Linked DNA regions of Astyanax mexicanus. The protein of the gene in region 1 purifies or fractionates together with the protein of each later gene. This does not show direct contact. Links are inferred from orthologs where the notes say so. Each region holds a gene or a part of one and is shown on either strand. Other genes may lie near its edges.

Region 1 (11,685 bases):
TTTCAAGAGAGAATACTGCTATTATCACAATGTATTTTAATTAGTATTCAACACATTAGTTTTCAACACATTATCCCAGATTGAAACAGGACAAATCATTTGATGTCATTGTGGACATAATCGGATCCAGTAGTTCTTTACATTGTGCCACTGAGTCCCAATACTGGGTAAAAATAATGGTTTGGTGCAATTATACTTTAACAGCAAGTGTCAAAATGGTATGATAAATGGGCAAATTAAGAAGTTTTTGTCCCTCTCTTGTAAATGAGCCATTTTGGGGGATTTAAGATTTTGAGGTTTTTGCATGAAAGCAACATACAGGACAATTCTATTCTATTCTATCAGTGTAATGGAAATCTCCTATATGCCACCTTACTTTAAATGTGTTAAAGTAAGGAAATAACTCTTCTGGACAAAGCAAGAGCACTAAGCTTTTCTCACCCCTTGCTCTAGCCCCTTGTCAAACTCGTCACTCATCTTCCTCAGCTGTCGGCCATATTTCTTGGCTGCCCACAGAGAAGGGGGAGCTGAGCGGCTGCGGCGTCGGAATGAATCTCCATCTCCAGCTCCATCTTCGTGTCTCCCAGCACCAGACTCCTGCAGAGCCTCTTCATTCATAGAAAAATTCCTTTGCCTGGGCTCTACTACGACCAATAACAAAAAAGAACACATACTCTCACATAATGTATATATATAATTTAATTATCACTCACTAAAAGCCCACTGTAATACGAATTGCAAAAGTTTAAGATCGCTTTTCTGTTTGTGGAGAGAAACCTAACTTTTTTCTTTAACTTTAGCATTAAAAAAATGTCTTAAACCTGTAAATACCAAACACACACTAGCAGTTTACACTTTACATAATTAATGATTTTCAAACTTATAAGGAAATGTCTCAAATTTTATAAGTTATACCCAAACAAATATTGCAGACAATGCCTATATTTCTATACGTTTGCATTATAAAAAGTAAATATAAAAGCATTACAAAATATTATTTAGGATTAAGAAAAGAATAATTTATCATTTATTAAACATGAATGTAAAAGCATTAATCGTATTAATGTAAAATGTAAAAATTACTTATTATGTGAGGACATGAGGTTTTCTTTCAGTAATCATCAAAACCCAAATGCCTTAAAACATCAACTGAAGGCCCACCTTGTTCAGGGCCACTTGATAATGCGCTATAAAAATTATATTTTAACATCTTTTATAATATTTATTGCGCTCAGGTTTATTCTTCTCTATATTCAAATTCCAGGAACTATGCATTGTTAGCAATAGGGTTATTGTGTGGCTCATTTCCAGTAGTGTTAGAGCTCACAGGTATCTTGAATTTGGCATCTGTTGATACTAGCTTTGGATAGTCTAGATAAGAGCATCTGCCAAATGTCATAAATATAAATGTAATCAATAACACATTATGCTCAAAAGAATAACAAATATTGGATGCTAGTGTAAAGCAAGTGTATAAGTAATTTCCTTTTATGCAATGTGAAATAGATATAAAGTATACCAATTTTGCAGTTTAAAAGTCTTTCAATAAGAAAAAGTTTCATAAGTGAGCGAAGGTCATAAATTAAGCAATAGAGTGTTTGTACAGGAATTGTCTAACACAATATCTTACCTGTCTACACAGGTGAATCACTGCTTACAAAAACAGATCATTTGTTTTTCAGTAGGGACTGTGGTGCTTTGTGTGTGCAGCCTGGATACGGAGTAGCTGACATAATGAGCGAATGCTCCTGTACACTTCCCACAGGCCCTAACCTAGACACTGACTCACCTCTGAGTTTCTCCGGAACAGTGATGTGCTGCCCAGACCGCGATGGCTCAGCTGTCTTACTGACCTCTGGCTGGTCTGAGTCTCCTAGCTCTTCAGATGCATCTGACTCATCAGATATTGTGAACATGTGATCCATTGTGAAATCTATAAGAAAAACAAAACAGAATTTCAACACTAGAAACCACAATCATAAATAATCCTGCCTGAAACTTCAAGGTTTTTCCTGTTGGTCTGCATCCATATTTATGCCCTAAAATGCCCTTGTTGTGAGGCTCAGGTAGTAACTCTACAAAAGCATAGCACTAGATATACAAAACTAAATATACATACACTAAATATACACACAATATACAGAAGCAACAGCATCCCATGTTTGGAACTTTCAAGCATAGTCCTTTATCAGAGGTCACAGGACGCTGATAACAAGATGCTATTGGTGGCCTATTTTTTAGCCCAGCACTGACACATGAAGTGTTTAGAAATTCCAGCAGCACTGCTGCGTCTGATCAACTCGTACCAGTGCAACACACACTAACTCCACTATCAGTCAGTGTCAGTATTAAGGGTGGTAATCACAGGGTATCTTGCGATATGATACCACGATACTGTGATTTAGCGAAAATCAAAATGTTGCAAGACAATTTTCTGTACAATACTTAACAGCATCTGTGCTCCTGAAGAGGATAAATACTCCTAAATAAGCAAATACCAGGAATTATGGATTTATTGGTGTCACAGAATTTAACAAACAATATTCTTCACCACAGGTTTAGCCTATTGATTTGATTATAGTAATGTTTTTATGGAGCCTTTATTGTAATATCAACTAGTGACAAGTGACAAGCTATGTAAAATAAGTTATCATCACCTCCTCTCCACGACAAAGGAAATCTGTGTATGACACTGTGTATGAATGTGTGTTCTCTATTCATTTGTTTATTCTGTAAATTGTGCATCAAATACTGTGTTAAACTGAGTGAGGGAAATTGAGGTTTTTTACTCCTCCTCGCACTGTGTAAGCACGTGTGAATTCTTATGATTTATAAATCACTCATAAATAATGGTGATATGAGTGAAATCATCAGTGAGGGAGCATGCAATTAGCATGCTCACTGCAGGAATGTCCACCAGAGCTGTTGCCCATAAATTGAATATTTTTGACAGACTGTGTATGGCTTTGTGTGGGTTAATGGTTTGTTGATGTCAATGTTGTGAATCGAGTGGCCCATGGTGGTGGTGGTGTTATGGTATGGGCAGGCCAGGGCGTACGTAAAGGACAATGAACACAGCTGCATAACCTCATGTTGCAGCATGATAATGCACGGCCTCATGTTGCAAGGATCTGTACCCAGTTCCTGGAAGCATGTTCCTGAAAAACATCCCAGTTATTGCGTGACCAGCATACTCACCAGACATGTCACCCATTGAGCATGTCTGGGTTATGTTCTAGTTCCTACCAATATTCAGCAACTTTACACAGCCACTGAAGAGAAGTGGACAAACGTTCCTCAGGACACAACCTGATCAACTCTATACAAAGGTGATGTGTTGTACTGCGAGAAGCAAATTGTGAAGCACACCGGGTACTGACTGGTTTTTTGAATCCCCCAGATTCACATATTACTGTAAAACTGCACATTTTAGAGTGGTCTTTTATTGTGGCTAGCTCAAGGTACACCTATGTAATAATCAATGTCTCTAATCAGCATCTTGATATGCCACACCTGTGACTGGTGAATGGTTTACCTCAGCAAAGAAGAAGTGCTCACTAGTACAGATTTAGACCCGAATGTGAACAAAATTTGACAGAAAAAAGGCGAACATAGGAATAACGTAGATCTTTGAGTTCAGCTTAAATAAAATGGGAGCAAAACCAAAAGTGTATTTATAGTTTTGTTCAGTGTGTGTGTGTGTAGCTCTGGAAAAAAATAAAGAGACCACTTAAAAATTATACATTTCTTTGATTTTACCAAATTAATGGATGATCACAGCTATCAAACCAATCTAAACTGCTTGACGTTTTGCACCAGGAGTGGAATTAAGTTATCCAAAAGCAGTGTGTAAGACTGGTGGAGGAAAAAATGCCAAGAGGCATGAAAAAAAGAGGATTAAAAAACAGGGTTATTCCAGCAAATATTGATTTCTAAACTATTAACGTTATGAATATGAACTTGTTTTCTGGGCATTTTTCATTTTCTGCAAATAAATGCTCTAAATGACAAAATTTTTATTTGACATTTGGGAGAAATATTGTCCGTAGTTTATAGAATAAAACAATAATGTTCATTTTACTCAAACATATATCTATAAACAGCAAAATTATAGAAACTGATTCAGAAACGGAAATGGTCTCTTAATTGTATCCAGAGCTGTATGTATGCATGTATGTATACACACACGTTTATTCTATTAAATGGCTTCGGCTTCTTTAAGTTGTATCGTTACCCACTACTGACACAATATATACACACACTAAGCTTGTCTAGTCCCAGCATATAATATGCCAATAGAATAGGACTTTCTAGGGCACATAAACAAGCCTATTGTCACTATGCAGAATGCAAGTAGAAAATTATCGAGTATCGTTAGCCAGCCAGTTAACTATAGTTAGGTTAGCTACTCTAGCTAACTACACTGTTGTTGTTGATGCTTATCTGCGGTTAGCCACTTCCGCTTAGCTGACACGCTAATTACCTTAGTTATCGTTAGCTATGTTTAGCTAGGCGTTGAAAGAAACCATAGTTGGCTAGCTTAGCTTAGCTACATCACACTCAAAACAAGTCCATTAAACTAACTTAATAGCTAAGCTGAGGTTAGTTCTACAGTAGCTAACTGAGTAAACTAAGGCTAACTTTCTCAATAGAGCTGCTGGTTTGCTAGCACTAACTATTTAGCTAGTTAGCTAACCTAGCCCATTATAAAGGTCAGTCAGGCTGACTGCTAGCTCTCTCGCTTAGCTAAGTAACTTCAGGTTGTATATCTTACTAACTTGAGTTATAAAGGTTGTAAGACTAAACGGACTCCTCAAGCGTTTATATGAGTCAGACACTCTGTCCCTTACCGAGTTTGGACGGCTGGCTGACAGCAGTGGAGTCGCAGGTCCCCGCCGCCGCCGCTCTCGCCGCTGTGGACATTCAGTCCAGCCGCTGCTGCTGTGTTTGTGTTCCTGAGAGTTTCACTCCACCACTCACACTCTTCTCCGACCAATCAGCGCTTTACTTTACATTTACAGTACATTTCATTTAACGCACGCTTTTACTCAAAGAGACTTACAAATGCTGAAGTACATAAGCAATAGAGGACATAAATGTCCAGGGAAACACATTGCAGGGCCTTTACTGCATTTAAATCATGTGGAAAATATATAAGATTGGAACATGTACATATATAATACATGGAATTTACAGAAGACAATGGGATTCAAATAATTAGGGAAAATATACCATTTACAAAAATGCATTTAATAAAATACAGTACCGTTCACCTTAAATTCCGCGTTTTTTCATTATTTTATACTTTTCTGCAATGTAGATCAATACTAAAGTCATCCAGACTATAAAGAAACATTTTAAAAACTTACCTCTGTTGCACAAGATAAGTTACTAGCCTTAAAAACCGCAAGTAATAACAAACACAAGACAAATCTGATCTTTATGGTATTTCACCGACTCAACACACTGCACTAGATTATCATGCTGCTCCTTTGATTATGACTTTTATACAACGTAATTTGTACAAAACTGTCCTCTGTTGAGTGCCACACCGATGACCCATGCACGTTATATTTTGTAATTAAATCACACATAGTTGTTAATATGGATAGCATGTGTGATAATACAAATACAGTCATTTATATCTTGTATAAAATAGTTTTTTTAATACATATTTTTATTAACAATATGTTGTCCAGTCCTATCCCCATTCAGATTCCTCCAGTAAAGTAAAGCATGTTGCTGCAGCATGAGAAATACTAGAAAGTTTAAACTAAAATCCATGGCTGCATATTTTATAAAAATAAAAAAACTGCAAAAAATACTTGGAGAATAATAAATGTTACATTTAGTCATATGAATTAATGTAACAATAAAATACATACCGGTACATACTGTTCAAACACTAGATGTCAGTAAAGCTCACAGAGCATGGCCAGTTACAGCTTTATCTTTCTCAATGAGATCCAGCGAATTCCCAGCATCCCTTATATGGTAGAGGTAAAAGAAGAGAAATAAAATGCCCTTTTATCAAGGTATGTACTGAAAGTCATTTTACTGTATTGCGTGTGATTTGTTTAAACAGTGAAAAAAGATATTTACAATATGTTGTCCAGTCCTATCTTCATTCAGATTCCTCCAGTGAAGTGCAGAATGTGGCTGCAGCATGAGAAATGCTAAAAAGTTAAACCTAAAACCCATGGCTGCATATTTTATACAAAAAACACTGCAAATTACTTGGAGAATAATAAATGTTACATTTAGTCAGATTAATTAATGTAACTATAAAATACATACCGGTACATTGCTAATTCACCTTGGAGCTGTTCAAGCACTAGATGTCAGTAAAGCTCACAGAGCATGGCCAGTTACAGCTTTATCTTTCTCAATGAGATTTACTCCAGTAAATTCCTCTACAGCATACCCCATATGTTTAAAGTAAAAGTACTTTAATCAAATAAGTTACTTTTCTTTATCGTGTGTGAAATGTTTAAACATTGAAAAAAGCAAAACTAACCCATAGAATTAAACTCAAATGTAAAATTAAATTCAATTTCTGCTAATGTATTTATTTTTTACTAAAGTTATGATTGTAGTGTGTTTCATTTAAACATATTACAAAATGTGCGAACATTAACCGTAATATAAAATAAAAATGTGTTTGAAATATTTAAATTTGAAAATAAAGCTTTTTTTTTTTTTAAACTAGATAACTTAGCTAATGGCTTTGGCTGCGTCCAAATCCACACACTGCACTATTCCTGCTGTGGGAAAGTCTATATTTACACACTAGTCAGAATGGAAGTATGTGGTTTAGGACGCGGCCGCATACTAGTTAACTAGCTATCATACTTAATAGGGTATGAAAAAAAAACATCTCCATTATTTTTAGTGCATGTAATAGAGTATAAATATTAATACAGCTGTGTCTGTTTGTGTATCTACTACAGAGTTCTCCTAAATTCGCCCAACTTAATACCGGAAGTAGTAGGTGTTTTTTTTCCTGCGGGGCTGTGTGTGTGTGTGTGTGTGTTGGTTCAGGTGACGCAGCTGAGCGCCGTTAGTGAAGATGGCGAGCGCAGAGATCGCGGCGGAGCACGAGAGGATCCAGCGGGAGATCGAGAGCACAGACACCAACTGTATCGGTCCAACACTCCGGTAAGCTGTGGCTGAACGGGCGGGATGTTGTGTGGGTCGCTGGTGGATTTACCGGCCGGAGGGAAGTCCTTGAAGAGAGCGCTGTCTCTCTCACTCTGTCTCTCTTCCTCTTCTCTCTGTAACTCTTTGGAGAGACTTCCAAACAATCTTCCCCCAACTTGTCATCCTGCTAGCGTGCTAAGTAGCTCTCCTCTCTCAGTGTTAGCAGTGCTTCAGCCAGAGCCCCCCTGCACACAGACACACACCCTGCCTTTAGTATTCACCTCACACGCCTTTACAACTTAGACCCTTACTACCTAACACACTATTAGTACACTGAGATTTGGACTGACCGTTGAGCCAGAAAGATATCTAACTACAGCACTTTGAAGTTCGGTGTTGGTAGGAGTGGTAGCTTAGGTTAAAGGGTCTAGTTTCAAAATGTTTATGTTAAGCTAGCTAAGTTAACTAACTTGGCCAATAATGCCAGCTTATTTGGGGAGCACGTATTGTTAAAGCAGTGTGACTTTCTGTAGAAGTTCTGCAGCTCATTAGGTTTATGTTATGATTTGGGAACTGAACCGAGTCCATTCACTGTTTAGTGATTCATTTCTATAGTTTAGCTAGCTAGCTAACTACACTATCGCTAGCTAACATTTACTGTTCATTGATTAATTCTTACATAGTTACCTAACCCAGCTATCGTAGGTTATCCTTTCCTATTAGGTTAGCTGGCTAGTTAGTTACTTTTATCTGTTATAGACAGTGAGTGCTTGTTTCCTACTGAACCATTCAGTGATTCATTCTTACATAGGTTGGTTCCCTAGCCTACGTTATCCTTTCCTTTAGTAGTAAGTAACTTAGTTAACCCAACTGTCTCTGTTATAAACACTGAATGTATGTTTTTGATGTTTTTAGACAAATATTACAGATTGTTTTAATACTACTTTAATGTTAGGTAGCTACGTCATGTAGCTAACTAGCTACATGAAGTAAATTTATTTTGTTGTATTAAATTCTAGTATAAAATCACTGTCCAGCACCATAGAAATATTATATTTTTCTGTAGCAAGAATTTATATTAAGTTTTTCTTTCTAGCTACTCGTGTGGCTAATATCTGTCAATATTTATTCATTCTATGCCAAATAAACGTTTAAATGGGCATTTGCTTAGGTGAATATTTAGTTTGTTTCGACAAAATATTCTTTTTTTTGTCAATTTAGGATAATATGCAAATATGCTAGCTAACCTATGTAACATAACTGCAAAAGGTAATTTGTAACTATAGATACTTATTAGCTACTCATGTGGCTCATAGCTGTCAATATTTATTGATTGTAAGGCAAAACATGACCATAAATGACCATTTGCCTTTTTGACAACCAGCAAAAAGCATTTAGTTCTTCACTTCACATCTGTCATTTTTAGAGAATATTGCAGAAGCTTAAAAATAATGTTTCTGTCTTTTTTATGTTATTTCTTACAGGAGTAATGAAAAAACATTTTTTCATGTATTAGATTTATGGAAGAATATCAGTACACATTAACTTGATGAATGCAAACTATCCTCTGTGTATAATAGCTACTATGATTTTTTTAAACATGGTATCGCCTGCCACTAGATTCACCCTAGTATTGTATAGCTAACATACAATCCAGGGCTATATAAGGGTAATTTTTCCTTGATATAAAGCACAGTATATCTTGATTAGACATTATATGTTGCTATATGTATCTTTAGCCTATATATCCTTTACATAGCAGCTGTTTGGCATAATGCGTATTTAGCTTTGGTTGCCCTGCAACTGATGGTTATTTAATGTGTGTGTAAGAGTGAAGGGTACAAACAATGGCATAGTGGAATATTCATACACTGGCGAGAAGTTGTGGCTAATATTAGTTAAAGGGAGTGTGCTGAGAGAGTTGCTTGCTTGTGTGATAGTGTGTATGTGTGTCTGTGTGTGGTATACGCTGATAACAGCCTCATGCTCTGACTCATGTAGAGTGACTGACATGCAGTCGGATGATAGTCATGGTCTAAATTCTGTCTCTGTGGTAACTGTTTGTAACAGAGGTAATTAATGTGGTAATTTGTTTGCCCTTTAGAGCTGGGTAATTTAAATCTCATTTTATTCTGAACTTATTTTATTCTAGATTCTAAAATCATATAGTAATATGGATACTACTGGGATGTTTGTGTGAATTGTTTGGTTTCCAGAGGGATGACACTTAACCAAGTATAGTCTTCATAATTAAAGGAGCACAATAATGAATATACTAACCATTTATTTTAACAACATAATCCAGGGCAACTTGATCATTGAGTCCTGTACCATGTTGATATCTTATATCAGTGTTTCTTTCTCATATTACCCAACTGGACCTATGTGATAAAGCGTTTTTATTGTTATTGCTATTGTATTTTACAGAATAAGTGTAATTATATATTAATTTCCAGATAAGATGGCCCAGATCAGCATTTATACTTTAAATATATGGTTCATGGTCCTGTTTTGATGCCCAATTACTAAACTCTTTTGGAATGCTTATTTGTATTGAACACCACAACCCTTCCCCTACTAATTTCTGTAAATTCTCTCTTTTTCATGCTCTGTTTGACTGCCTTTCTTTTTTTCCTCTTTCTAAGCTTTTCACTGCTGTACAGACAAGGAGGGGTGTGTGTATGTTTTCTTTTTTGAGTTTGAGCCTGTGGCTGATAAAAGCTGAGCCAGCCGTGACTGAGCATGTGTCAGGTGTCAGCTGTTGAAGGCTGCTGAGATTAGCAGCTTTTGCTGCTGTTCTCATTTACAGTTTCAGTCAGAGTGTGATGTTGAGAGAGGTGCTCATAGTGCTGGGGCAGGGTTCATTTAGCAAAGATGAGGGATGTTAAATAAAGCAAGATTTCTTACTTAATCATTAAAAAGAATTTTTACCAGATTTCTTCAGACGTCAATGATTTAACATGTCGTTGTATTAAAGTTGCACTCCATGAATCAAAGATTGCAGTAATCAAATTTAATCTGATTTTGATATCTGTCATGAAAAATTAAGATGATGATAAAGAGCCTTAAATTTGATTTTTTTATTCCAATACAGATTATTTAACTTTTTGTGTCAGATATTTTTTTGTCAGAGTTTTTTTTGCCTTATATGATGATTTCCATGTTCTCTATGTTGCAAAAAAGTAATGGGAAACTTGTGATATGACTATATCACTCAAACGATATATTGTGAAGTGCATGCAGGATGCATACCAAAGAAATGCGCATGGAAAAATAAATTGGCCTTTATACAGCAAAGTTTGTGGTGTTTGTAGTGATAGTTCCACTTGTTTTTAGCTGGACTTATCTGATATATCCTGTTATGCTAGTGATAATGAAACTGAAGAAAAAATAACTCTTACAAAAATCTGATTCAGTATTTTCCCCTAGTCATATACTCTTTAATACTAATTTACTCTCTTAAAAACAATGCATGAAATACTCTTAATTTCCTTTAAACTATACCATTACATGCTGCTTGTTATGTAGCTTGTTATCATAAACTATATGCAGGAGTTATGGTTATGTTTATTGCAGTTCTGTGTTAGCAGCAGTCAGGATGTTGTGTGTTTGTTTATGCTCAGTGTACAATGCAGTCAGTAATAGAGCGCTGTGTTTCACCTCATTTGATACTATGTTTGTCTTTTGAAGTCAGCCATTGTTTCCTGCTGATTTGTAAGGTCTCATGCTTTGTTTTTCTCCATCCTTTAACAAACACACGGCCTCTGGAGTCTCGGACATTAAATATACACGCCACACACGCCATTCCCATTTACACCCTAACACAATTACGCAGTAAGTGATAAGAGCTGTGTCTGAGTATGTGTGTTCGAGTTCATCCCGATTCTGTTGCTTGTGTTGAAGGCTGCAAAGGCTGGAGTTGGAGAAAGACAGTCCAGTTCATGCTCTGTTAGCGGTGCTGTGAGTCAGCTCTCCCAGTCTACTGTTTCTTCTCTTTTTAGACTTTCCAGTATGTTCACAGGAACTCACAGGAACTCGCAGAACTTCAGTTTTTTTTTCTTCTGTATCCCAGCCTGGAGAAGAACTGTTATGATGACTTCTAAATTTGCTCACTGCCCACTTTATTAAATCCACACCCTTGTTCACCTCAATGTCCCATATGGTCTAGCAGTTAGGATTCTGTTTTAGGATTCTGAGTTTTTACCCAGATGTTTTTTAGGGGCAATCATGGCTCAGGTTAGCGCATCTGGCCATCAATAACAAGGTTATGGGTTTAATACCTGGGTTCTGCAAGCTGTTACTGTTTGGCCATTGAGCAAGGCATTTATGGGTTTGATACCTGGGCTCAGGAAGCTGTCACTGTTTGGCCCTTATGGGTTTAATACCTGGGCTCAGAAAACTGCCACTGTTTGCCCCTTGAGCAATGTCCCTATGGGTTCAGTACCTGGGCTCAGCAAGCTGTTTGGCCACTATGTGTTCGATACCTGGGTTCAGGAACCTGTCACTGTTTTGTTTTTTGAAAAAGACACTAATGGGTTTGATATC
Region 2 (11,962 bases), on another chromosome or scaffold:
CACTGTGGGTAGTCTGTTCAGTGCTCAGGAGCCGGATGGCATTCCTCCAGAGCTCGCTCCGTTCCTCACTCGCTGCTTCATCGCTCGAGTTCGCTGCCTGCTGGATAGCACATCCGGCTTCCTGGTATGTTCCTCTAAAATCCACAAACTGTAGAGTAGCACACATTAACGGTAAAGTCTACTTCAAACTGCATAACCAGTAAATCAGTAAGTACAGGCGCATCTCAAACTATTTGATTATCATTGAAAAGTTACTTTATTTCAGTAATTCAGTTTAAAATTTTTAACCAGTATATCATATAGATGTATTAAACACAGAGTGATCTATTTTAAGTGTTTATTTCTTTATTGTTGATGATTATGGTTTACAGCCAATGAAAATTAAAAAAAGAGTGTCTCAGAAAATTAGAATATTATATAAGAACCATTGAAACTTTTGGCAGTGTGGGCAGTGTGCCAAATCCTGCTGGAAAATGAAATCCGCATCTCCATAAAAGTTGCTGTTGAGAAAAATATTTTTTTATCTTGAAAATCAGGGATTTGAACCAGATCTTTACTAAAAGTTACTTATTTCTCACCATACCTGTCAAGTCTCTCGTTTTAAAAAGGAAACTACCGTATTTTACCGTAAATTATAATATATTATAATAATTAAAAAAACATTTCTGTGCCTCTCCAAACTGAAATTTCACTAACAAGCCTGTGAGACCTGCGGGAACAGCCCTGGAACAACCAATCAGAGACCAATGGATGGATGCAGGAAGAGAGAGGATATTCCTGCCAAAAAACACCATACTATGATGATACATACTCATACATACTATGTGAATAAGTATAATATCATACATAGTGACTACAGAAAATACCATTGATTCGACAAAATGACATTAAAATAAAAATACTATATATTAATATATATATATATATATATAATTAATATAATAATATCAATTAATAAAACTATATCATGATACTATGATACTGAACCTGGGTTTGGCTGATAGTACGACTCGAAGTGGGCAGTAGGAAATTTCCCTTGTTTTTAAATGCAAAACTTGACGGGTATGTTTCTCATAGACAAGATATAAAACACACTCGTTTTATCTCTTTCAGAGCATGCAGTTCCAGGGCAGTCTGAAGTTCCTGCATGGTCAGAAGAGGAAGAGCGAGTCGGGCAATCTGCTGCCCCCTCAGCTGGCTCTGTTCTGCGTGGCTGTACCACTCGTTGTGCCATCTATCACCGAGCTCAAGATGAAGAACATGATGATAAAGAGCAAGCAGAAAGGCTCCAGCAGCAGGTTCATTCCTCAGATTTACTGCAGTTTACTTCTTACTGAATTGGGAGGGTTTCACAGCTCACTTAACAGATTTTTTACACTATAAGGTACCGAATGCACTTAATTATAAGGCACACTGTCAATAAATGTCTGTTTTCTGGTCTATTTTAATACATAAGGCGCACTGGATTATAAGGTGCATTATGCAACACTAGTAAGGAACAGGGGTGTCACCATGTTTCACTTTTAATTCAGCAGGTCTCGCCACTAGGTGGGTGTAGTTAACTAAGTTAAGTAAAGCTAAGCTAAGTAAACAAAACTATAATTCTTTAAAAAAAAAAACCTTTCTTTTAAAGTCAAATGAATGCTGGATGTTAATCCACACAAAATTTCTCTCCTAAAAACAGTTTATTTGTATAAGTAAAACGCTTTTGTTTATTTACAATAAGCTAAGATACCCAAATTTCTCCAGCACTAAGGCTGGTGCATTAGCAGTAGCGACTAACTGCTAGCGGTTAGTGCCTAATGCCACCCGACTGCGCTACACTGGCTCCGGTAAGCCAGGCCGATATTAGCTAGCAGTTTCTCCCACATAGCTTGTTTTAACATGGTAAACACACAGCTAAAAGAGCTAACTAGTGCTTAGTGCGGTTAGCGGTTAACGCTAATGCTGCTCCAACAGTGCTAGCCAGTAATAATTCTTATTTCTGAACAGCTAAAAAGCTAGAGCTTAACATGATTAGCGGGTAATGCTGATGATACTCCAGGGCCTTACAATCTGACTGGTAGAATTCATACATAAGGCACATCGGATTATAAAGCTGTCCACTGTTCAAAAAATGTTACATTTCTGGTTCAGCTGGCACCTACTATCTGGCCTCGCATTAACCTCCATAATTAAGGCAAAGGTTGAACTTCTCTCGCAAGATAAAACCTCACAACTTGTACAGATGTGGGTGTTCCTAAGTCGTTTCTTGGTTTATCACTTCATGATCAGTTTGCATGACTTTTGGCATATCTTTTTATCATGTGGGTCCCACATGATGGGATCAGATCAGATGCAATTGAAATGAGATATTCACTAGTCATTAGTGGTTTTTAAAGTTATAGCTGATTTTTCTACATTTTCACTTTCTTTTTTTTTTTTGTTCATAGCGAGAAGAAGTACCGTATGTCTCGTAGCTCCACTGACCCTGGGGACATGCTGTTGCTCAACTGGACCACCACGTCCTCCAGAGACCCCTGCCACAGCAGTCCATGGGCTGCCCTTGCCAAAGAAGGCGTCCCCTACAGGACCGAAAGCTACTACAGCCAGGACGAGCCCCTCGACTTCTGCCTGTCTTCCGTGGGGGTCCCCAGAGTACATGCTACAGAAAGTCCATGGGATACTCGAATAGGTCCTACTGGTTATTTTTCTAGCAAGTTAAGCAAACACGCACAATCTGGCAAATTCCGCACTTCTCCAGGCCTCACACCAATGGGATCACAGGCCAAACCTTACGGACACAGCGAAAGGGACGGGTACTGTGGCAATGGCAAGACTGAGGGCAGGTACATGGCACATAATGACTGTTACGGTGGTCTCCTGCTGCCAGAGACCGCCATTAAAACAGAGCAGGACTCAGATTCAGAGAACGGCTGCAGTAGGTACACCACCATGCCCCACAACGGGGTTTGGCGCTATGGCATGACCTTCAACGATAGCCATCTGGTAAAAAACGAAGGAAACTACTACAACCACTGTAGCCCATGCAACCAAAGCGGTGGCAAATTGGCTGGTATCAGCCCAACGCTTAACGGCCACCAACGGTATCTCTATGCAGGTCCCAGCAAGCCTTTAAAATGTGCCCTCAACAAAGATGGCGCCCATTCTGACCCTCTAGGCAACCAAGCACACTGCCTCGATGGACACGCCTACCTAAATGGATCTACTGAGCCCAAAGTCTTCGCCCAGCCAGACTACAAGCTGAGCTATGAGTTCAGGAGCCACAGTCTTCTCCACTCCATCAAACGGGAGCCCATGGACTCTCCACCCTGGCCTGAAAGCAGCCACGATCCCAGCCAGGCACATGCAGACAGAAATGTGGCGAACTGTACACAAATGAACGCAATCACGCACAAAGCCAATCCCTATTTGTTTATGCAATGATGTCTGAACTGATCTGTGGTACTTTACGGTCAGATATGTCTTATGTCTTTGTAGTTAGTGATGGATTAAAGGAATACTCCACTGTTTTTTAACCTAATCTCTATGTAAAGAGTCTAAATCGCACTAATGACTTGGTGTCTTGGTGGTCATTTTGTCAGTGCATCACTTTGGAACAGGGACTTGCTGGGTTTTTCTGGTTTGCAATTTGTATTGGCCTGATTTGGACAATTTCATTTCATCAGGCTCAAACTTAAGATTTTTTACTTATGAAATTTATTTGAGGCAATTTTTGATATAATGATTTTAACAAGTGATTTTGATATAATGATTTTAACATATGGTTTGTCAGGCTGCTTTTAAACTAACAATATCGTGTCCTCCTTGGGTTCATTTTCGGGACAATTTTCACTCTCAATATCAGGCTCAGATTAGGCTGTATTTTACTTCCATCTATGTACATTTTTATAGGAGCATAGAACCAGATTGGGCCAATTTTCTATTTGAGTTGTAAATTGGGAGTTGGGACACAATTTTCTTAATTTTATTGTAGAACATTATGCTCATGTCAGACTCAGATTGGGCCAATTGCTGCTTTTGTCATCAAATTCAGATTGGATCAATTTGCACCTAATACAATAGATTCACATCAGACCAGTTTTGCCTTAGAGGTTGACCTTGATTTTTTACTTAAAACATCAGGCGTAGATATGGTCAGCTGCCAGCCTGCTACTTGCAACATCAGACTATGTAACATCCATCAGACACTTACTGTATTATTACCGCACTAAAAAGCACACCATATTGGGGGGCACACTATTAATAAATGTCTATTTTCTGGTCTATTTCCAAAAACAAGGAGCACCGGATTATAAAGCTTACCGGGGTTAGCAGCAGGCTACAGGCCGATAATACTCACCTCTGAACGGCAAAAGAGCTAGCGCAGTTTGCTGCTAATGCTAATACTGCTGAAGAAATAAACTGAAACTCCTGTATATTGCTGCATTTCAGCAGAGTGGCTTTACTGCTCCTTACAGCCTGACTGGTAAAATTCATACATAAGGCGCACCGGATTATAAGACACACTGACGATTTTAAAGAATTGTAAGTGTGCCTTATAGTGCAAAAAATACGGTACAATAAACTTCTTTTCTGTCCTTTCTGTCTCATTCTCTAGAAAATAGAAAATGAGAAATTACAGTTCAGGGGAACTTTGGTCAAGTCAAGATGAGACTATTAAGACCTCAGAAAAAAGAGAGATCAGAAAAGAGAAAGTCTGTTTTGAGTCTCTTTTTTACATAGTAGCAGGAATCACAATGTAATAGTTGTCTATTCAGTTGAATCTGTGCTACAGACGCAGCAGAGAGAGATTAGGTTAAAAAAATGCTGAAGTATTCCTTTTGAAGCTCAGGTTTACCCCTCCCTTTGCAGATGCAGGTCTCATAGTAGCACTGGTTTTGAGGGGAAGTTCTATATTTTAGCACTTTTACAATGATGTGGAAATTTATTTTAAATATATGTATATTCAATGTTTTTTTTTATTTGTATGTAATGCAAATAACTCTTAAATGCCACAAAAATTACATAAATGTACTGTTTTCTTTAAATAAAGATTACATGTTGGTCTTCATCCCAACTGGCTTTAATACAGGTGATATGTATCATGTTTTATGATTTTTAATCATGCACAATGTATAAATAAAGGGAATTTAATGGGGCGGGGGCTGTTTTGTGTTTTAGAATATATGTTGATTATTTGTTATAATAAGTTGTTAATTATGCACTGTGTTTTGGAATGAATAGCTTGCAGAGGTTTAAGTTGCTGTCTGAAACATATGCTGTGTGTTTACACTTGTCAGATTAACAATAAAAAAATATATATATCAACATAAAACATAAACCGTTATAATTTTGCAGCTATATCCTTTTCATAACAAATATTGCTGAGTTTACAGGCACATTTATCTGTGGTCTATCTGTGTTGTTTACCTGTTTACAGACTGTTAATTCCCTTCTGTCAGTTCTGTCATTTTTGTAGTCTAAATGAATAGTGAATATTATAAGTAATGGATTCTATGGTATGTATTTTCTTTAATGATTTCAACAAACTCATTTTGCAGTATATTTTGAATATGGTTCACAACCTCTTTTATACACGATTTAGCTGCTGAGCAGCAATCACTGAAAGTCGTATTTTTGTGTTTGTATTTTTGAAATGTAAGTAAAATATTGCATTGTCCCTAGAAAAGAGTCTTGTCTTATTTTAGGCATGCAGGAAAATTGTGAAAAATGTGTTTATTATATATTTATTTCTACAGTTATTGACGGGAATAATTGCAGCAGTATTAATCACACTTTATCACTACTGTACTGCAGGATTCAAACTCTACATCTAACCATTTTACTTTTAATATCAGTGACAATGCGCCCACACACTCAAATCAGCAACGTTCTCTAACCCTTAGGTCATGACTAGTGTTTCCTTTAAAATTAGCTAATTGTTTACTTAAAGTACAGTTTTAATTTAATACATCATTAAATAAAATTAATGATCACTAGGTTTTAAGTTTAAAAGTTCAAAATTTGTTGTTTTTCCATCATCAATCTTAACAGATGTAATGCAACCAAAAAAGCAGGTTTATTCAATGTTCTTTACTATCAACTGCCAGACCTGACTGTTTACTTGTTGACTAATGTTAAGATTCAACTCCTAACATTACTAACTGGATAGTAATACATTATTATTATTATTATTATTATTATTATTATTATTATTATTATTATTATTAATAGTAGTAGTAGTAGAAGTAGTGTTAATAGTGTTATTAACATTATTTTTAGTGTTAATATTATTAATATTAACAAATATATGATTATTATTAATGTTTAAAAAAAATAGTAAAAGTAATGATAAGCTAAACTAATATATATATATATATATATATATATATATATATATATATATATATATATATATATATATGTTCAAGTGTCATTAACATTAACATTTTGGTTATTAACATTATTTGTAATGTCATTTTTGTGAATTAGTATTATTATTATCATCATCATTGTGGTTATTATTATTATTATTATTATTATTATTATTATTATTATTATTAATTGCGTTATGAACGTTATTATGATTTTATATTTTTTTATTATTTATTTATATATATTTATTATATATTTTAATTCATTAATTTCTTTTTTTATTAATTGATTTTTTCACCTGGTCCTGATCTGGCTTATGGCTGACCCTGCTCCTTTCTGCGCAAATCCTGCGCAGCCGTGCCTGTCTCTATGGGCATATGCGGGGTTGGGCGGCGCAGCGACCAGGAAGACTGAGCGCCGCAGTAAGAGGAAAATAACGCCAGATAATTAGAATAATATGATATTAATGCAGAAAACACTGAGCGGGAGCCTTTAGGAACACCAGCTGAGCCCGGGTAAACATTTGTTACACCGTATTTCACCTTAAATAAGCGGAGAACGCGCTCAGAAACCGGTGCCAGGAGCTGTTTGTGCCCAGGCTAAAGAGTTAGCTTACCTTAGCCTGTTAGCTTTAGTGTTTATGTAGCGTTAGCAGCTGCAGCTAAGCTATATGTTTATGTAAATAGATGTATATATCTGTTCAGTTTAGCTAGCTAAGCTTGTTAGCTAGTGGGTGCAGCTCTGTCCACCTCAAACCTGCTCAAAATACGTTAAAACCCGCTGTTAAACAGTCATTTATTGTTTTTCAGGAATGGGAACATACCAGTCTTTTTCCTACATTGTAAATGAATACTGAAGTTGTCCAGACTATGAAGGAACACATAAGAAATCATGTAGTAACGTTAACTTAAAAGTGTTCAACAAACCAAAATACTCTACTCTTATCTGGGGGACTGTTAACTTGTGGTTTCTGAGGCTGAGGCTTGTCCTTTCCTGGTCCTTATAAGTGCCAGTTTCATCATAATCTTATGTCATGCCAACTCTACCTCTTCACAACTGATGCTCTTAAACTAACATTAAGGGGCAAGAAATTCAAGTAATTAACTTTTGACGAGTTCAGCACAGCTGTTAAATGAAAGACTGCCTTATAAAGCTGAATAAGAAAATCCAGCCAAGATGTGCAAAGCTGTCATCAAAGCAAGAGGTGCTACTTTGAATAATCTATATTTAATATTATAAAACATATTCTGGTTTGTTTGTTTTATGTTTTCTTTACTAAATAATTCCATATGTTTTTCTCTTTATAGTTTGGATGACAGTATTTATCTACCGTGCAGCAAATGTTAAAATAATGAAAAAATACTGAATTTTAGGTGTGTCCAAACTTTTGACTGGTACTTTAAAATTTACAGAGAGACTAGACACCCATGTATAACTTTTAGAAACAAACTGACACCTTTCTAAAATAATCGCCTGATAAAATCTGGGTTTAAAGTTTAGACCGCTGTGTCTCCTCAACTTGCTCGCATTATTAGCCTGTATAGGCCTAGGATGGTAAAGTTACCTGAGGTAACCTAGCCTTAGCTTTTATTTGTCCAGCAAAAGGGCTTCTTTCTTTGTGTAAATTTCACTTATATGAGTCTTGAGTAGCTCTGCTGAGGTAGTTTTATGATTAAAATAGATCTACTTAGATAAATTTGTGACTTGCATTGTACTGCTGATGTAAATGTATGATTAAAATAGCTCTACTGCTGGGATTTAAGGTTTAGGCTACTGTGTCTCCCCACCTCTCTCTCTCTCTCGCTCTCCCTCTCGCTATCATTGTCTCTCTCTCTCTCTCTCTCTCTCTCTCTCTCATTCTTGCTTGTGCTGTCTTCTGTACTGTGGATCTGGGACTGAATATATAGAATTCGGACTAGAGCGATAAAGTTGCCAGAAAAAGAGTTATCTGTTCATTAACCCAGCTATCTGCACTATTCACATATAAAAAAATCTACTGTAAAAAGAATCTACTTAAAAAATTATTAGAAAATTGACCAAAGTTAATTTAAAGGGTTTGCCGATGTGCACAGTATTTGGTTTTAATATAACTGACGAAGCATGTTTTTATTTATTTTTTTATTTTTATTTTTACAGTGTGTGCAGGTTGCCATTATGGAGGAGACGAATAGAGAGGCCGTTGCCACAGCGGTGCAGAGGGTGGCGGGGATGATCCAGCGATCAGATCAACTGGATAAAGTTGAGCAGTACAGACGAAGAGAGGCACGAAAGAAAGGATCTGTAGAGGCCAGACTTAAAGTAAGTTTATCAGTGCCTTTGTTATATATCAACTGCAGTGAGAGTGTTTACTGCATTACGAGCCTTTATTAAATATATTTATAATTGTCGTTGTTGTGTGTAAATGTATAACAGTGTCTTTCCCTTTGTCCTACAGGCTGCAATCCAGTCCCAGTTGGACGGAGTTCGAACAGGCCTCACTCAGCTGCACAACGCTCTGTGTGATGTGAAGGACATCCAGAACTCGTTAGCAGACGTCAGCAAGGACTGGAGGCAGAGCATCAACACCATCGAGAACCTGAAGGATGTTAAGGATGCTGTGGTCCAGCACAGTCAGCTGGCCTCTGCAGTGGAAAATCTCAAGAACATCTTCTCAGGTATGAGTTGTTGTTTGTTTGTGTTCTTCTATCTTTGTAAACTGACTGTTTTTTCCAGCTGAAAGATTTAAGCTCTACGGGGCTAGAGTGATAACGTTAGCTGAGGTAACTTAGCCTTAGCATTTATTTGTTAGTTATTAGTAAAAAACTGTTTGTCTTTCTCAGTGTAAATTTTGCTCACATGTCACTTGAGCAGCACTGCTAAGGTAAAGGCATTTTTGGGTTAGAATATCTATGCTGACTTAAGTAAATGTATGACTAAAATTGCACTGCTCTGCTAAATTTATGATTAAATAGCTCTACTTAGGTAAATTCATGACTGAAATTGCACTGCTGTGGTAAATGTATGTTTTAAAAGCTCTACATACGTAAAGTTCTGACTTAGGTAAGGTAAATTCAAAAGTTAAATTGTATTGCTCTGGTAAAATTATGATTAAAATGGCTCTGCTTGGATAAATGCATGACTGAAATTGTACCGCTGAGGTAAATTTGATTTAAATAGCTATCTGTAAGAAACTCCTGAAGACAGAGCTCTTCAAAGAGCACTTACTCTCCTAACACCTCTAACTAACTACCTTCCACTACCAGACCAGGAGAATCTCTCACTATCTTTAATAAACTCCTGAAGACAGAGCTCTTCAAAGAGCACTTACTCTCCTAACACCTCTAACACACTAACTACTTCTAACCTCATTTCCTTCTTCCCCTCCTTCACTCCTCTATCCCATTATTTCCCTTTGACCTCCTTTAGGTCCTATCTAAAGATGTTTTTACCTTTAACTTCTATTACTTTTGTACTTCACTATTGTCAGTCGCTTTGGACAAAAGCATCTGCCAAATGCAATGTAATGTAATGTAAAATAGTGCTTTTTGGGTAAATTCATGACTCAAATTGTATGACTGAGGTAAATATATGCTTTAAATAGCTCTACTTAGTTAGGCATATGATTAAATGATCACATGTAGGTAAATGTATCACTTAAATTGTACTGCTGAGGTAAATATATGATTTAAAATAGCTGTACTTATGTAAATTCATGACTAAAATTATACTGCTGATGTAATATTATGATTAAAATAGCTCTGTTTAGTTAAGTGTATGATTTAAAATAGCTATACTTTGGTAAATCCAGGACTAAAATTGTACTGCTGAGGAAAATTTGATTAAAATAGTTTTACTTGGGTAAAATTCATGACTAAATCTATGCTTTAAATATCTCTACTTAGATTAATTCATGGCTAAAATTGCACTGCTGTGGAAAATGAATGAATAAAATAGCTATACTTAGGTAAATCCAGGACTAAAATTGTACTGCTGAGGTAAATTTATTATTAAAATAGCTCTATTTCGATGCATATCTACTAGGCCTGTCGCAATAAATGGACTTGAACTTAATAATATTTGATATCGTGGTATCGTCTATTGTGTTTATTTATATGTTTGTTCACATATATAACACTGAAGAGTATTTTAGACAGCAATACCAGACCCATGCTTCAATAACTGAGACTCCATACAAAAAGTGTGGCCTGCAGTAGGTGAAGAAAAATCTTTATTTCTCAAACTATGATGAATAAAATTTTGTTTTCTTTAAAAGGGTATAATTATTATGATTTTTTTTGTGTTGATATTCAATTATCATTATATCAGTGACATATGGTTTATCGCAATAATTTCTGGGACAATATATCACCCACAAAAAAAAATCCTATCGGGACAGGCGTAATCCCTACTAAATTTCACTCTCTCTCTTCTTCAACAGTTCCAGAAATCGTGCGTGAGACCCATGATCTGATCGAGCAGGGCGAGCTCCTGCAGGCTCACCGCAGACTGATCGATCTGGAGTGTTCCCGCGACGATCTGATGTACGAGCAGTACCGCATGGACAGCAAGAACACCCACGACATGAACCTGATCCGCGCCTACTTCGGCCAGGTGCAGGGCCTCTCCGACGAGCTGGCCAAGCAGCTGTGGATGGTGCTGCAGCGGGCGCTGGTCACAGTGCGCCGCGACCCCACCATGCTCGTGTCCGTGGTGCGCATCATCGAGCGCGAGGAGAAGGTGGACCGGCGCATGCTGGACCGCAAGAAGCAGACGGGATTCATTCCCCCCGGCCGGCCCAAATGCTGGAAGAGCCGCATGAACCAGGTTCTGGAGGGCACGGTCAGCGGCCGCATCGAGAGCACCCAGTCGGAGACGCGGGACTCGGATAAGATGTGGCTGGTGCGGCTGCTGGAGCTCACGCGCAAGTACGTTCTGGACGACCTGATCGTGGTGAAGAACATGATGGTGCAGTGCTTCCCTCCACACTACAACACCTTCCAGCTCTTCTTTGACCTCTACCACCGGGCGCTGTCGGCACGGATTCAGGAGCTCGCTGCAGAGGATCTGGAGGCTAATGAGATCGTGTCACTTCTAACCTGGGTCCTCAACACTTACCAGAGGTATTTTGACATTCATATTAATGACACTCATATAAATTTATTATTAAAACACCTCTTGTTTGGTAAATTCATGAATAAAATTGTTCCTCGGCACTTACCAGAGGTATTTTAACACTCATATGAGGCGTAGTGTGATAGAAAACAGGTTTTTGCAACAATAAATCAGATTAGTAGAGTTGATTAGTCATTGATGTTAAAACATAAAAACACAAGGCATCTTATGATATGATGTTATCGCAATACATTGCCTATGATAAGGATGATGATATGATACTATGATTCTGCGATACTCAAAATATTACTGAATTTATGTAATACTTAACAGCGTCTGTGTTACTGAAGATACGCCTTAATAAGCTAATACCAGGAGTTATGGATTTATTGGTGTCATTTTCACAGAATTGCACTGCTGAGGTAAACTTATGATTAATATTGCTCTATTCAGGTAAATTTAAGACTTAAGAGTTAAATGTATGATTAAAATAGCTCTACGTAGGTAAATTCAT

Evidence for each region.
Region 2: the proteins of exoc6b (region 1) and exoc3 purify together in Homo sapiens (affinity purification with mass spectrometry; 3 studies listed by BioGRID and IntAct, counting the BioPlex papers as one, with this or other methods). This does not show direct contact. The link is inferred for Astyanax mexicanus from reciprocal best matches to the Homo sapiens genes EXOC6B and EXOC3.

Annotation. Positions count from the first base shown.
Region 1 is NC_064415.1:24,545,096-24,556,780, forward strand, and holds the start of exoc6b (exocyst complex component 6B), read left to right. Parts: upstream 1-6,929; 5' UTR 6,930-7,069; coding exon 7,070-7,158; intron 7,159-11,685. Other genes in the region: badb (BCL2 associated agonist of cell death b), read right to left, coding at 442-644, 1,790-1,933, 4,851-4,923. UniProt on the Homo sapiens protein: Component of the exocyst complex involved in the docking of exocytic vesicles with fusion sites on the plasma membrane.
Region 2 is NC_064411.1:51,607,466-51,619,427, forward strand, and holds the start of exoc3 (exocyst complex component 3), read left to right. Parts: upstream 1-6,720; 5' UTR 6,721-6,872; intron 6,873-8,493; 5' UTR 8,494-8,511; coding exon 8,512-8,655; intron 8,656-8,791; coding exon 8,792-9,011; intron 9,012-10,774; coding exon 10,775-11,456; intron 11,457-11,962. Other genes in the region: ahrrb (aryl-hydrocarbon receptor repressor b), read left to right, coding at 1-124, 1,114-1,298, 2,433-3,426. UniProt on the Homo sapiens protein: Component of the exocyst complex involved in the docking of exocytic vesicles with fusion sites on the plasma membrane.